Linked DNA regions of Bombyx mori. The protein of the gene in region 2 purifies or fractionates together with the protein of the main gene of each other region. This does not show direct contact. Links are inferred from orthologs where the notes say so. Each region holds a gene or a part of one and is shown on either strand. Other genes may lie near its edges.

Region 1 (8,086 bases), on a different chromosome or scaffold from region 2:
TTCGGCGATGTCGATAGCATTCATTGGTTGTGGAATGTGTTGGATATTACTATCCATATCTTCACACGGATCCACTATTGAAACCTGCATTAAGAATCAAAATATTCTATTTTAATGCTTATTCTAAATAGTTTCAACACAGAAGCCGGCAAGAATAATTGCATTAGACTTACTTTAACAGTCATTCCATACAAATCGACGACGCCCCATACTTGCGGCTCCACTTTATCTGTGGCCACACCTTGATCGACACCATTTATAAAATAATGCAATTCACCATTGCTTTTCCGCAACAGACCGACCGTTTCCGCTTCCTAAACAGAAAAAAATTTAGAGCCGGTACTACATTATTAATTTAGACTAGGTACATTTTCTTATACGCGAATGAAGACAAGGGACTTTTTGGCGGTAACGCGAAAAGTGAAGTTGTGTGAATTGTTTTATTTTGTCTATTAAGTGTTTCTTCATGTTTAAATGTGTAATAACGGTGGTTTATTAACGGTTTAATATCTGTGAAAGTGCACAAATGTGGGAAAATGAAATAAACTCGCTGGACGTAGCTTCTCGGGATCCTCCAAAAAGTCCATTGAAAAAGTCTCAGTAAATAACCACCATTTTACTGAGATTATATTTCACCCCATATCATCTCATCTCATTTCATTTAACTTCATGTCAGTTGATTAATCTGGGTTTCCTTCATTTTTTATTATTCATAAACTGTAAATAATTAAAACGGCGAATTATAAAAATCTTATTACTTGACATTGGCTAATGCCAAACCGTGCCGGAGTCAAAAAATAAAAAAGAAGAATGAAGACAAACCCTCAATTCATCCAGATTAAAATTCCCGTATTCCATGCAAGTGCCGTGTCCGTTCAAAAGCACTTTGCATCCAGACATCATTATCGTACCAGAGTCCATGTTAGTCATAGTGGATGGAAAACGAATTGTTGCAGGGTTATGCGTGGTAACGCCCACCTGCGAACAATTACAATTTTAAAAGCTCACTTGTACTATCATCATCGTCTTAGGCCTTACAGCCCAGGGTAGGCCTTAGCCTGGTACAGTATGTCTCTCCAGACTCAAGGCTTTCTCCTTCCAGTTCTTGACACCGATAGTAGTAGGCAGCGGCTTGGCTCTGCTCCCGGCATTGCTGAAGTCCATGGGCGACGGTAACCACTTACCATCAGGTGGGCCGTACGCTCGTCTGCCTACAAAGGCAATAAAAAAAAAACTTTGAGGTCGTGCTCTAGGCCAGACAACCATCGGAGTTTGGGCCTGGCCTTCTGCGGCCCTCTGGTTTGCCTATATTATATTATATTATAGTTATAGACTATATTATAGTAGTTGTCTTGGCATTCTGGTCTCCTTCATTTGAACTACATGTCCTTCACTTGTACTATCGCTAAATTAAAATAGCCATCTGTTTATTTTAAAAGAATAATGCTAATTTAATGTACGGTGAACTGCAGAATTAGATTAATCTTTTGAGTTCTTATATGTAATACTGTGAACACCGAGTTAATAAAAATAAACTACATATAAATAAGGCATCAGTAGTTTTATGGTGTCAATTATATATACTATTGTGATGATAGAGCAGTTATAAATATTAATACTTAAACTAAATAATACTAAATGATGGTTAAATGTCGTCTTGTGTGAGAGATTTGTTGTAAAGTATTGAGTTTAGTGTTTTTGTAATTAATTCTAATATTTATCAAAATTTACGTTTTAAATATTAATTTATGAATTCAGTAAATTTAATTTCAATACCGTTTTGAGTAAAATTTTAAGGAGGCTAAACGCCGCCTATGTTTCTCCTAATGTAAGTACTGTGAAATTAAATTTGTCTATTGTACATCACAACGAGTCTACTTCATATAGATTACTTCATTACAAAATACTGGTCAGACGACACTGAATTTGGTCAACTGCATCAACGACATTGTATTTCATTACCTCAACACTGCCACTCCATTTATCAACTAATCTATCTATACGTATTTCGAAAAGCTCGTTGTCATAAAGAGGTCGATGTGTCATCACAACTCCGTTATTATAATCATCCAATGGCCGGGCTCTCTCAGCTGTCCTGAAATATAATAGAATCTCCATGAAAATTTTTATTTTAAAATTCGCTTATATGTTTAGTATGTACAATGTGCAAGTGCTCTGTGGTGATTGTATAATGATCCTGTAATATATATTTTTTACCATCATAAAGCATGCAGAGTAATTCCTGTGTATCTTGAGCGCTATGGACATATCCTTCTTCAAACGAGATTTAAGGAGGGTCCTCCATATTAGTCAGCTTGGCTACTGATGCCGTCTTATGTACATGAGCAATGGTGATCACTAAGAACCACATGGGTGGTACGCTGCTCTGTCTTCAATGTTAATTAAAAATTAAATAAATATATACTCCAGTCATTATCACAATAGATATTACTCACTTATTATTCCCAGAGAGTTTCACTAAAATTCCACATCTTGGATGAAATCTCAAATGATCTTGAGCTGTAAATTTAATCAATATGTTTAGACTATATTGTATCCATTTTATTTACAATGTAAATATTTACAAACAAAAACAAACCAGAACTACAAGCTCCTTCAGAAGACATGGGCACATAAATATTTTGAGTTTCTTTTGGGAAGGGAGCAGATGGAAGACCAGCTACATCTATTTCGCTAGATGTTAATGTATCATCATTGTTGGGATCGTCTTCAGCCTGTATATGTATGGCAAAACATTAACAAATTTAATAAATAAATGTATAAATATTAAATTAAAGAATAAATAAAGTTTTTGACCTCCAATTATCAACCTTATTTTCAAATACAATATAATTTTATGTTTAATTAACAGATTAAAAAGTTATCCACATTTAATTACAATCAAAGTGGCTTCACATAAAATTTTCTTTCCAAGTATATTTTTATTGAAGCAATCTTAGCTGTTAATTTATACCTGAACCAAACAAAGTTCCATTGCTGTCCTTAGTCCATTCACTTGTGATATAGAAACTTGCACACACTGACCATAAAGATCAATTACTGCAAACAACCTAGGTGGCAAATCTTTGGCAGCAACTCCAAGGCATCGTCCATTGATATAAAATGTTAATTCCGCCTAAAACATAAATTCACATTATAAACTTTTTCTCGTATAAATAGAAAGCTATATTACTCAAATTACATTTGGATACTTTTAGACTGGTTTAGTATGTCGAAATATTTTTCTTTTAAAAGTAAGTAATTAATACCTTGCTTGTTCTCATAACACCTAAACAATCACCCTCTCGAAGAGTGTCAAGCTCGGGCCCATAAGAATTTACAAGAGTTACACCATCCTTCACAATAGAGCTGCCTGACATTATCTGTTAAAAATATACGATGGACATTTAACCTTTTTATTTTTATAGTTTAACTTATATAACTTTTAATTATGTTTATAGTTTAACCTATTTGATTTTAATAGATGTTAACTTGACTAGGGAAATGGTCTAGTCTGAAAAAAGACATGAAAATTATGAAATTTATTAAGTTTAACTACTAGTAATTAGTAATTTAAATATTATTTGTTGTGTTAGTAATTAGTACCAAATTATTAATTTTTCTATATTACCCATGCTGTGTTGCGAAGTTTAGTAGCAGTGGCAGGAAGCTCCATAAACTCTGGATCCAAAGTAGTGACTCCTATTTCTAAGCTGCCATTCCAAACGTTCACCTATGACAATGTTCAATTTAGATAATCAAGATACATATAGGTAATTTAATATTTGTAGGTAATTAATTAAAAATAGCTCAATTCAAGATTTTTTTTAATGATGGAAGAATAACTGGTGCCCCAAAGGTATTTCCAGCTTTACCCTGACTGGATAGCACGCACGAGCTTTACTAGGCTAAGTAACAGCTGACAAAACCCCTCCGAAAGAGACCTGACTGTTCAAGGGCTCAACAATTGTAACAAGTCCGATACTTTTTTGCAAACATGAGCAATATACTTTTGTACTTAACTGTCTTTATTTTAACTAATATGATATTTTATTGTTAAATAAAATGTTAATTTACATAATACACACTGATGGACCAATGTATGCATAGTCTATATTCTTAAATTCTCCAAAATGCATTTTTATTAGCTTGTTTTTATTTAACATCTATCCATTAACACACTCTCAAGAAGTTAGTTATGCTCTCAGTTGTCAGATAATTTGTTGCTAATAAATATTTAGTATAGTTGAATTTAAAATACTTCTTTGCTGTTAATATAGGGCATTATATTACAAATAGAAAGTATATGCAAAAAGTATTGATTGTGCTAAAGTACTTGGTCATTCAAGAGTGAATTTGCCGTGAGTGATTCCTAATTATTTGCCCACAAATAAAATATATTTGCCCGGTTCTCACAGCTTACCTTTCTATCGATGCAAACTTCAAACATAACATCATCAGAAATCGGTTCAGCACTTAATATTAAACCATGATTAAATTCTACAAAATTTCTTATAGCTGTTGAATTATCATTAAGCAGTGTAACTCTGTCGCCGCACCTTCTGTGGAACTTCATTTTTTCTATGGAATAAGAAAAGCACAGCTATGTAAAATTATTAATGACTTGCAGTAGGCAATGGCAGTGTTAAAATAAGTTCAATGCAATTATGTTTTCGTATTATTTAATTCAAAAATTTACCTACATCTAGCACCTTTTGTGATCGACATTATGAATTTATTTTTAAACACATTATAGGACTTTTTATATTGAAAACTGTTACGAACATACACATACTTTTGCGCGAATCAAGCATGCTTGTAATTAATGTATAAAGTAATTCATTATTTAAGTTTCCCCGCAAAAAAAATTAAATGGTTAAGTGCAAATCATATTTTCTTTAAAATTGGTCTTGTCAATAAATTTTAAATGTCTGCAGAATAGTGATTGCCTAGGCAATTGCCATTCCGAGTTACAAAATAGATCGATATCAAAATTAGCTCGAATTGCAATCATGAACTAAAAATGGGTTAAAGATTTTTCTCCAATTATGCTTATCGGAGAATTATACTATAGTAAACACTACTATAATATTTTTTCATATTGTTTACGAAGAAATCAAGTAAAGTTTCACCCTTTAATTCAAACCCTAAAATTGAAATTATTAATCCATTGAGTTTCTCGCCAGACTTTCTGGGCCGTGACTCGCGAATCCGATCCGGCGGTAAATTTAATGAAGCACTGTTCTTGCTAGGGGCTAGTATAAACAGACATTCAAGGTGAGCCCGTGAATTTCGGTACCAGTCCGAGCGTAGCTAGGATAGCCCCTTAGGCTACCAGAGATAAGCTAGGGGTAAAAAATGAAACTAGTAGTTTTATTTGTGATTATTTCTATTCAATTTGACGAATCCAATTCATTCGATTGCTGAAACATTTCGTAAGTTACATTACTATTTTAATATGGTATAGTCTGTGTAAGAGTCGATCAATATAGCGTTTTGTTTTTTCAAACAAAATACTCTACAAGCTTTGATAGGTGTAGGACAACATGAAAATTACAAACCATTTCAAAAATTGTAAACATAATTTTAGGCAATGTTAAATTAAATGTAACTACAAAGCAAACAAACTTGGATTATTGAGGTCGTAGATGTTATTAAAATTCATTGTTTTACAAATTCCTATATTTCAATTATACTACAATTTACAACTTTAGTAAAATCCCCTGAAAAATTTAATCTTTAATTAACATTCGTTTTATCTAGTAAAAACAAAAAGTAAAAATCTGACTGAATCTTTGTCACTAAAAATTAATTAAATGTGATGGTTACTTTTTTATTGACGGAATATATTGATATTGTCATCCCTACTCAATAATACACTATGTTTATTTAATATTTTAAACACCTTTGAAGAGAATAAAAAGTTTAGCATCGTATGTGTACCATTCTCGCTATAACAACAGCTACCATCATTTGGGCACGCTATAAGCAATACATACTTCTAATTGTTAGTTTTGGTATAGATTCCTGCTACTACCAACTACTTCTTACAAAACATAGTCTAGAAAAACTGTGCCCACAACTTAAGAATAGAGATCGACCAGTGACTGGTGCATATTGGCAACGGGAGGCATAAGTTATACAACGCTCAGTTTCTCAAGACTCTATACTTCAGGAACATGAAGATTCGAGATTCTTAAACGCCTTTCTTTTCGGGCAGGGGCCGAACCCTACCCCTGGTAGGACCTTTGGGAGTCCGCACGGGTAGGTACCACCACCCCGCCCATTTCCGCCGTGAAGCAGTAATGCGTTTCGGTTCGAAGGGTGGGGTTGCCATTGTAACTATACTGAAACCTTAGAACTTATATCTCGAGGTGGGTGGCGCATTTACGTTGTAGATGTCTATGGGCTCCAGTAACCACTTAACACCAGGTGGGCTGTAAGCTCGTCTATACATCAAAGCAATAAAAAAAAAAAGGTGTCCGCGCCTAGCGGCCACGCAAGTTATGTGGGACTTGACGGTCTGTAGGTGTTGGGAGCAGACCGCGGGCTCAAGAATATTTTCTAGGCCCTACCCACCAAACGACTCCCCTTACACTCTCTCATCTGACATCCGATCTCCGCTCAGGGTCAGAATCCAGACGGAATAGTTCGATCAACACTAGAAACAGACTCGCGGTGCTACCCCTACAACGCCCTACCGACGGGTCGTCGGAGCAACAGTCGACGACTCTACGTCAGCCATCAGTCAAGCCGCCGCAGGTAGTGCCTCTTTTGTACTAGAATTTCCCGCAGGACGCTATATACCGCCATCCGATTCCTGACTCAGTAGTATCACTATGATTTTAAAGTTTTATCAATTAAGAAATCGATTAGTTCCGATTTTATGACCGGTTATCACGATTTGAAACTTAATGAATATAGAATATTAAAAAATAATAATCTGCAGTTGATTTTAACAGTTCCCATCACAAAAATGTGGTACCTATTAAAAAAGAAAATTCAGACGGGCACGTCTTATATTTGAATTTGAAAAAAACTTACCTACTTGCTTACTATTTCGCTTCCGATGTGTAAAATGGAATGGTCTCCATGTTACCAGGAACCATTAGGTACCTACATGCCAAAAAAAGTGTCATTAACTCGACTGCTCATTTGCGAAAGATAATTTGTGAAGTAGGTACATATATTCTTTTTACAAATAAACAATTATTTGCGGTCGGTAAAGGCGTATTGATTTACAAATTTTCACTGTTGTCTATCTTCTATCAAACATTGTTCGTTTTATATTATCACGGACAAACTATAAAATAGACTCGACCTATTTTTTATTCCGACTCCCAACTTGCAAGGCCAGGTGATATGGACTTCCCACTGCCCGTATGCATTGTTTATACATTAAATTGGAAACTTTTATCTATTTATTAAAGTTATAATGAATACTGCTTCAATAGAGTTTGCTTTTTGTAAAGGGGACTATGCTTTAGATTTTTATTAATAAACGCAGCGCAATCATACCTACCTGACACCATTTTCGGTTCCTTTAACTCTTGCTTAAAGCTGGTCTTTAATGAAAGAACCCGTCGCTTGCGACGAAAGGCTCGACGAGTAAATTAACCCTCAGACACAGCCCACTGAGTTTCTCGCCGGATCTTCTCAGTGGGTCGCCTTTCCGATCCGATGGTAGATTCTGCGAAGCACGGCTCTTGCTAGGGTTCGTGTTAGCAGCTTCGTCAGGTTTGAGCTCCGTGAGCTTACCTACTAGTTAAGGTTCCGCTGATATAGCCTCTCAAGGCTATCAGCTTAGCTAGAAAAAAAAAAGTTGTCGATAGCTATGGGCTCCGACAACCGCTTAACTTATTCCGATACGTAAGTGTCATAAGGTAACGTATGAACGCTACTTCGACAAAGCGGCGCGACACGATAACACTCTTATCGTGACCGCCGCTAATTACTTAACCGACCCAGGCGACGGAGCAAATTTGCTGTCGTGCGAAACATGTCTTGGTCGGGCCAATAAAAATTAAAAATTCAATTATGAATTTAATAGTACGCACATATTGGGCAATAATGAAAATCACAAATC
Region 2 (8,401 bases):
CTAATATTTATATGAGTGTTGGACTCCCTAATAATAATGACAATAAATAATAATGTTAATTTTAAATGCCCAGTGAAGCGGGCGAGTACCTACGGCTAGTATACGTATATTATCTAACGAGCAGCCCGCTCCGGCACCGCTCGGGTCTTTAACAAAAATTTCAACGATATTTGACGTTGTTTTATTTTTAAAAATAAAAGAACACTTATTGCGGCATAACTATAATAGTTAAAACATATGCTGTCGGGACACTTTTTGTAATTAATAATGTGTTCTACAAAGTCGTAGTACATTATTTTATTCTATTATCAATAGTTTTCGCAGGGCACGCGATGTAAAGAATATTTTAGGTAATTTTTTTACACCTTGGGTTACATTATTTGAGTTTTAGTAAGGATCTCTAATTTTTTTCAAAAAAGATTATAGCCTATGTCACTCGGGAATAGTGTAGCTTCCAAACAGTGAAAGAATTTTTCAAATCGGTTCAGTAGTTTCGGAGGCTATTCAATACAAAAAAACAAATCTTTCCTCTTTATAATATTAGTATAGATGTTACTGTATAGTAGTGACCTTGAGGTGTTGATCTGTCCTTGAGCCAAGTTCTGTTGGAAGAGTGCTCGTGCAGCAGCGGTGGAGGAGCCGATCAGCTGTCTCGCTTCCGCAGACCGTTGCCGCCGGAGCGCCTCGCTCGCACTCACCCCGGTAGGACTCACAGTTTCCACTGGACTTCTGCTTAACAACAAGCCAGAACGCGCATGAGTGACTAGGCCACTACCAGAGACTGCGTGATGTCTGTTTTCTCAGCTACCACTATTAACTTTTTTTAAGGGATTTTATGACCTGGTAACTAAGACCTTTAAGTTATGTCTTATTTTAATTTATATTCTTATTTTTATGAAAAATGATAATGTGGAGCGAAATGAAATAAGATGATATGGGATGAAATATAATATAATCTCAGTAAAATGGTGGTCATTTACTGAGATTTTTTCAGTGGATTTTTGGAGGATCCCGAGAAGTTACGTCCAGCGGCTTTGTTTCATTTTCCCACACTTGTGCACTTTCACAGATATTAAACAGTTAATAAGCCACCGTTATTACACATTTAAACTAAAAGAAACGTTATAGACAAAATAAAACAAATTACACAACTTCACTCCTCGCATTCCCGCCAAAAGGTCTCACTATTTACTATGCAGGTTCAACCATACGTAATATGAAGTCTGTTCACAAATGTTTCTTAGAACTAGTTAGTGACCGATAAACTCAGTTAAATAAGGCGGGTAAGAATTGCATTTATAATCTCTCGCTCTTCAGCAAGCCTAATAAAAAAAAAACTACGATTTAAATACCTTTCAAAAATAACCAATGGCCTCTTAATTTTTCAGCCCCTCACTTATAGTAGCAGTACGCTATCGTATTTAACTATCAAAGTTAATGACGTCGAACTGTCTGTGGTAATCTCTACAGTACTCGCCGATAAGCTTTACTATCTTTGAAAAAAGACAATCGGTTAATTTCGGTTTTGTAGAGCGTTATCTCTGTCGCACCAATCACTACTATCCGGTTTCTATTAGCACCGTAAACTAACGCTCTTGAACAACGACTGACAGACGTCATATAGGTAGTGTGCGACAGAGATGACGATCTATGAATACGAAGTCGAAGTGCAATATTTATCGACGGGTACTGTACATCAGATGTACAGAAACGTTTGTCCATTGACATTGATAAACAAAAAATACATTAAGGTCATATCATTCTTCTGCCCTTCTCCAGTCACCTGTCGTCGGCGCAACATGTTTTCTCCTTCCATAATCATCTATCATATACCATTTCTTCACTCACTCCCCACTTACACATATCGTCTTCCACGCAATCCATCAATTTCTTCTTAGGTCTACCTCTTCCTCTATATCCTTCCACATTCATAGTTAACACGCTCTTACCAACCTCATTTTCATTTCATCTCATCACATGTCCATACCATCCCAAACGCGCACTTCTCAGCTTATCTGTCACAGGTGCCACTTTCAGACTTCCTCTAACATATTCATTCCGTGTTCTATCCATTCTCGTTACTCCACACATCCATCGCAACATTCGCATCTGCTGAATGCAATCGCCTTTCATCCGCCATTTTAGTGGTCCAACAAGCTGATCCATACTTTAAGGTCTGCGTGCAATTTTTCGAAACTTACTTGTCGTGTTCGGCTTTCGCTCTTTTCTGTGCTTCTAACTCGTCTCTTCTTCTGACCATTTCCTCGGCTTTTCTTTTATCCTGTTAAATTAATAAATATAATATTCAAGGCCAAAATCATGTGATAATTGAAGGTAAGGAACCGCTTTCGAAAACAAAAAAAGGTATTCGTTCTAGTTTCCAGGTGAGCCCTTAAATACAACTGAGAGTACGAACCCAACGTGGGTGGCGAAATTCGCATTGTGTTGTCAATGAGCTCCAATAACCTCTAACACTAAGTGGGCCCTGAGCTCCTCCGCGAAATAAATAATTCTCTCTCTCTCTCTCTCTCTCTCCCACTCGATCAGCCTACTGACGTCCAAGGGAAGTCTTCCATCCAAAGAAATAATAAAAATGGAAAAGATAAAGCCATGTCTCGGATACATTATTTGATCTCCCTCACACCCCATTGTACAAACTGAATCTTTAAAAAGGTATTTTTTGGAACGCGTCGTAGTTCACTTGGACATTCAGCAAGGGTTCAATTCAGTATATTGTTACACATATCAATTAAGACTTTTCTTTTTTTATAAAATGACAAGAAAGTACTTAAATAGTGAACAAACCTCCTCTTTCCTTTTCTTTTCTGCTTCTATTCTTTTCTTCTCTTCAATTTCTTCTTTCTGCCAAAACTGGTCTCTCTCTTTTGAATTGATTTCTTTTACTAGAAAAAACAAAATTTGATTAAAATAAATGTAGTTTACCATATTTTTTTAAATCAATTGTAATCCAGTATCAGTACGAGCTGTAAACAATATAACCAACTTTGGTCAAGATTTTTGATTAAATCCTGTCTTATCACTAAACAGTAATTTATTACAGCATCAAGAAATCTTATGAAAGCTAAACAAAGCCATTGCCATAAACAGGTGGTATAAATTACTGTTGATAAACTTTATACGTGAAAATATGGAATTATCTTATTGATATTTCTGGTCTTTTATACCCTTACCCGGATTAACTTTCTGATATGCAGTCCCAACTGGTCCACTTGGCGGTAATTCCTCGGGTCTACTCGACTTGAAATTAAATGCTGAACCAGCTTTGGCCAGTTTGTCTAGGATTATCTTTTCGTCTAAGTCATCTTCGGTTCTTGCGTGCATGGTCAAGTGGAAACCGGTGAAGAAATTAGCCACATGTTTAATGTGGTTTGCACAGGTTCCTTTCCTAACAGTTGGTGCACCTTCACCCTTGAACATGAACATGCAAAACTATTAGATAACTAACAAGATTTACACAATTAAATGATTTTCATAGAGTTTTTGAAGTTGTCGTGGCCTAAAGTATAAGTCTTCCGGTGCATTCGTGTTAAGCGATGCACCGGTGTTCGAATCCCAGGCGGGTACCAATTTTTTTAATGAAACACATACTTAACAAATGTTCAAAATTGACTTCCACAGTGAAGGAATAACATCGTGTAATAGAAATAAAACCTGCAAAATTATAATTTGCTTAATTACTGGTGGTAGGCAGCCATTTTAACTATACTGAGACCTTAAAACTCATATCTCAAGGTGGGTGGCCGCATGTACGTTGTAGATGTCTACGAGATTCAGTAACCACTTAACACCAGATGGGCTGTGAGCTTGATCACCAATCTATGCAATAAAAATAAAATAAAAACAATTTATCAAGATCGACCATTCACCTTTTTAGGTATAAGGTAGGTTGGTATAAGATTAGGTAGATAAAAAAGGAAAAAATATGTTAATATAAAGTTATATTAACATGTTTTTTCCCTGTATATCACACTATTACATTATATTTACGTAATATATACATTTAATTTTATTTTTCAAATATCCTGCAGTTTGAATGCAAGCAACAACCCCACTCTTACTGAATTTATAAAAAAGAGGATTCTAGCAATTGTTTTAATTGTATCTCTTTGCTGGAAAATATTAAATTCCAGTATCCTTATTTTCATGCCTTTTTCCCAATTTTGGCCATTTTTAAAGCCTACTTTTCCTAAGTTTTCCTTCTGACTATCTCTAAATGTATTTTGTAAATAATTGAGGCCTTCCAAATTCAATGCATAACCTTAAAATATATTTTGGTGAAAGCTCAAATATCATTGAAGTCATAATAAAATTCTAGAACTATCTTTCTTCTAACTTCTAGGAATTCTATAACAGATTTTGAAACTGAACCTCGTTTATTCTAAATAATATTTAAGATAATATATATGTATACAGAATATTTTAAATAATATGAGAATAAACATATTGACAAAGTACTTTATCTAATGTCTTATCTATGGGAAAGTTATACCTGCCAGTTGATAAGCACATATTTAGATATGCTTCCATTTGGTACATCCACTTTTAAGAATGCATATTGTATTTTCCCACTATTCAAGTCATCAATCAACTCAGTCAAGCCTCCATCTCCTTTGCTGACGAACTTGAGATCATTTGTGAGCCCTTCATAACCATACAAGGCCCTGGAATTAAATATAAAAATGAGGTTTCTTATGTTAAAGTTTTGATTCTTGAAACCTCCATATACAATACAAAAAACCTAAACTATACAAGTTTATTAGACTGCAAATGATTATTTTAAAATAATTTACTCCAGTGACTAGTAGTACAGTTAGTTACACAGTCAGAAGACAATCTACACTGTGAGTTCATAAATGGTCATGGTAATTAATGTTCGAAATTCGCTCCTTAAATCGTATGAGCGTATGTTTTAACTTCCTCACCAATTAGGACGAGACCACATTCATTTTATGTACACTTACCAGTTCGTTTCGGTTTTTTCGTCTAATACATCTCTCCACGCACTGATTAAAGCTTCTTTATGTTTATCTAGGTTTATAGCCATTTTACATTATTTCCAAAAGCATCGAAATATATTTTACTTCAAAAATGCCTATTTCAACAATTATAAATTCCGTGCCTTTCGTATCTGGCCTGACTCACAAAACTGCTGAAATGTCATTGACATTTAAATTTTGACATAATTTGACAATACACTGACATTATTTTTATTGACCAGACGATTGACACTAAGGAATTGGTGGGTCAGCAGTTTAAAAAAAACACCGAACTAAATTAACTTGAATTGTAGACCTTCGACTAAATGCTATGTGTATGTGTAGATAGAATAAAGAGACGAGATAAGAGTTAGCGACCTATCTAATGTTAAGTGATTACTGAAATCCATAGACAACGTAACTGTCGCTTGAGGCGTACAGTCGATATTGATCAATATTGATATTCTACCCTTCAAACCTAAATGATGAGTGGGTACCATTTGCCATTTTACCATGCAGAGAGTAAATTACAGTGTCACAATACCTAAAAAGAAATCAGACTAATCTTATTGATGTATCCAACGGTATTCACGTTGTAGTGTCTATGAGCTCCAATATCTGTATAGCATCAGGTGGAATGTGAAGTCATTTTCCCACCATAACAATTAAAATTTATGGTGAATGAATATTGAAGTCAGAACTGTGGGTCTCATTAAGTGAAACTCCGGATCGATGTGCGTGAGCGAAATAATATAATATTACACGCCCATCGTCATTTTACGGGTGTAAGCTTTAAATTAATAACAATAAGGATTATCTGTACATTAGCAACACATCAAATAACCAAATAAAAAAAATTACCACTATTTTAATAGAAACGATGTTCTGTTATCTTATCAAATATCCAAAAATATAATTTTAGATTATGAAGATGATAAATATTCAAGCAAAAATATTTAAATACCATTTTTGGTTATATTTGTCAACCAATTTTCTTTGTTTATGTTTATTGAATATTGCCGATTTTAGTGATATTAATTAAAACAAATTTCATGCAAGTAATTAGGTTTTACTTCAAAATTTGAAGAATAAAACTAAATATTAAACCTTGATGCTCAGGGATATGTAAAGATCTTAAAATCGATCATCGAGCACACAGTATTAATTTGATATGGCTTAAGCGTGAAAAAAAAAAGTAAACTTTTTTAGTATAGCTTAGAGAATATAAATATTTCGCGTGATACTAAAATAAAAAAAATATATATTAATTATCTACATAATTATTTTGGTGTTCCTTAACCAATTTAAAATTTTACATACTATGTACAATCTGAAATTACCTACTGCTATATTTCATACATAATTTATTTCCAGTAAGCTTTTAAAATTGACCACAGATTAATAGGGTAGGTGTTCATAAAAGATTCCAATTAGAATGATTTATTTTTCCTACTGTTTTCATTAAAATGTTGCGCGCGCAATCTATCGTTCTAATTTTCTCTCATGTACAATAGTAAAAGAACTTTCATTCATAGCACTCAGTCAGTCTCGTAGTGAACCGACTGGCGCGACGCAGTGAAAAATGAGCCTCTACCATTAATGTTTCAAAACAAGTTTATACTAACATGTGGGTAGATGTGAGTGGGCGCGAAAAGCACAACTACATGACGCAGACAAATGGATGTTTTATACCGGGGTGAGTGGAAAAAAAACTTCATTAGAAAGTTATATATACTTTTGTTTGGAAAAGATTAATACGACACAAAATAATTAAATAAACATTTAACATTAACAAATATTAAGAATTTTATTATTGTTCCTTTAGTGCATAGTGTGAACACTAAAAATAAATAAATAATACGGTACCTAAATAGTTAAAAATAAATCTCTATCTAGACACCAGTATTTTTAAAACTTTTCAACGTCTCACTTAACTTTCTATTTTACGCATTGTAAGAGTATTGTATCGGTTAATTCTCGAATTGTTGAAAGTTGTTTTGTGTTTGATTGCGGGCAAAGCTTTTTTTTAGATTTGGATTCATAGAGTTTTAAATTTGAGTTTACATTATAATTATTACATATATTATTACTAGCGTAGTTTCGTGAGTGTGAAAGGTTTTTGCAGAAGAAATTTAGTAAATGTGCTATGTAGGTCGTGTAAAATACTTCCTGAGGACAAATACTTTTTATTTGTATAGATGGGTGGGTAGACGCGTTTCCAGCGCACTTGATGTTGACTTGTTACCAGAGCTTATAGAGTATAGGTATTATATTATTTTACAATATATTATTATCTGTCCAAGCCCAACACACATACAAAAAAAACAATTCCTTTAGGATAGCGGCCACCTTATTGTTTTTATATTATTTGAAATAGCCATAATAAATATTTTTTTTATTTTGATAGATCAATACACGTCGATTAGTACAATAGTCAAGTGTCGATGAATATAACAACATCTTTTTCGTTTATTTCCACGAAATGTGTGAAGTATGTCAGAAATATTATAATGATAGTAAAATAAAATAAAATAAAAATGAAATGGGTAGTAAAAATTCGAAATCAAAACCGTAAAAGTTGTTGATATGTGTATACTAAAACAAGCAAGAGAACAATCAAATTATCATGTTTTCCTTTTATTATTCTTTGTGTTTTCCTTCAGCTATCGCTGTTTGCAAAGTACATTGGATATTTTCACAATATATCGACTACAAAAAAGTTTATGTTATATATAAAACAAAAACAACGAAAGTTTATAATTAACTTAAAACAGGGTATGTAGCAATTATGATTGAAACAATACAATTTCAAAGAAACACCGTTGAGGCTTCACAGAATTTTCAATGCCGAATTTGTTGTTTTGAGAAAATGTTTACCATTAAACTTTGTAGTAAAACACAGGCCGTGTTTCAATGTAAACATCCTTGGACTACCTATTGAAATTTTACAAAGCCTTAGGTAGTGATTAAGCGCCGCCCTTCGCTGTACGTTGCTATGGTTACGTAAATGGATGCTAAATTAATATAAAATGTATTAAGTCGTGTAAACTTATGTTATTATTTTGATTAAATATTCTACATAGTATTACAATAAAATTAAAAATATATTCCAAAAAGCTTTTGTAACGTTTAACGACTTATTTGGTACCTAAGCAGTTTTTCAATCGCTAAGAACCGACAAAAACTCAGAGATTATTCTTTTGCGAATATTATATTATGTCCATCACACTGGTTTCAACACGGATGCCAAAAAATCATGGTCACGAATAAGAAAGTATTACGACGTTTAATATATGAATTACTCTGCATAAGCGTCGAAAATTGTAGTAATTAGGGCACAATGAAAAATCCTAAATAAAAGCTGATATAGTTGGTAATCCAAGACCTTGCTATAAAAATTTGGA

The links. The genes of interacting proteins can lie anywhere in the genome.
Region 1: the proteins of drebrin-like protein B (region 2) and neuralized-like protein 4 purify together in Homo sapiens (co-immunoprecipitation; 4 studies listed by BioGRID and IntAct, counting the BioPlex papers as one, with this or other methods). This does not show direct contact. The link is inferred for Bombyx mori from reciprocal best matches to the Homo sapiens genes DBNL and NEURL4.

What each region holds. Positions count from the first base shown.
Region 1 is NC_085107.1:10,079,688-10,087,773, reverse strand, and holds the start of neuralized-like protein 4, read right to left. Parts: upstream 4,928-8,086; 5' UTR 4,700-4,927; intron 4,582-4,699; 5' UTR 4,577-4,581; coding exon 4,424-4,576; intron 3,734-4,423; coding exon 3,632-3,733; intron 3,384-3,631; coding exon 3,270-3,383; intron 3,137-3,269; coding exon 2,975-3,136; intron 2,736-2,974; coding exon 2,600-2,735; intron 2,521-2,599; coding exon 2,457-2,520; intron 2,096-2,456; coding exon 1,963-2,095; intron 979-1,962; coding exon 823-978; intron 315-822; coding exon 174-314; intron 85-173; coding exon 1-84. UniProt on the Homo sapiens protein: Promotes CCP110 ubiquitination and proteasome-dependent degradation. By counteracting accumulation of CP110, maintains normal centriolar homeostasis and preventing formation of ectopic microtubular organizing centers.
Region 2 is NC_085117.1:15,761,370-15,769,770, forward strand, and holds the start of drebrin-like protein B, read right to left. Parts: upstream 5,203-8,401; 5' UTR 5,066-5,202; coding exon 4,983-5,065; intron 4,683-4,982; coding exon 4,511-4,682; intron 3,430-4,510; coding exon 3,192-3,429; intron 2,904-3,191; coding exon 2,806-2,903; intron 2,282-2,805; coding exon 2,202-2,281; intron 730-2,201; coding exon 571-729; intron 1-570. Other genes in the region: ciliary microtubule inner protein 2B, read left to right, coding at 6,623-6,693. UniProt on the Homo sapiens protein: Adapter protein that binds F-actin and DNM1, and thereby plays a role in receptor-mediated endocytosis.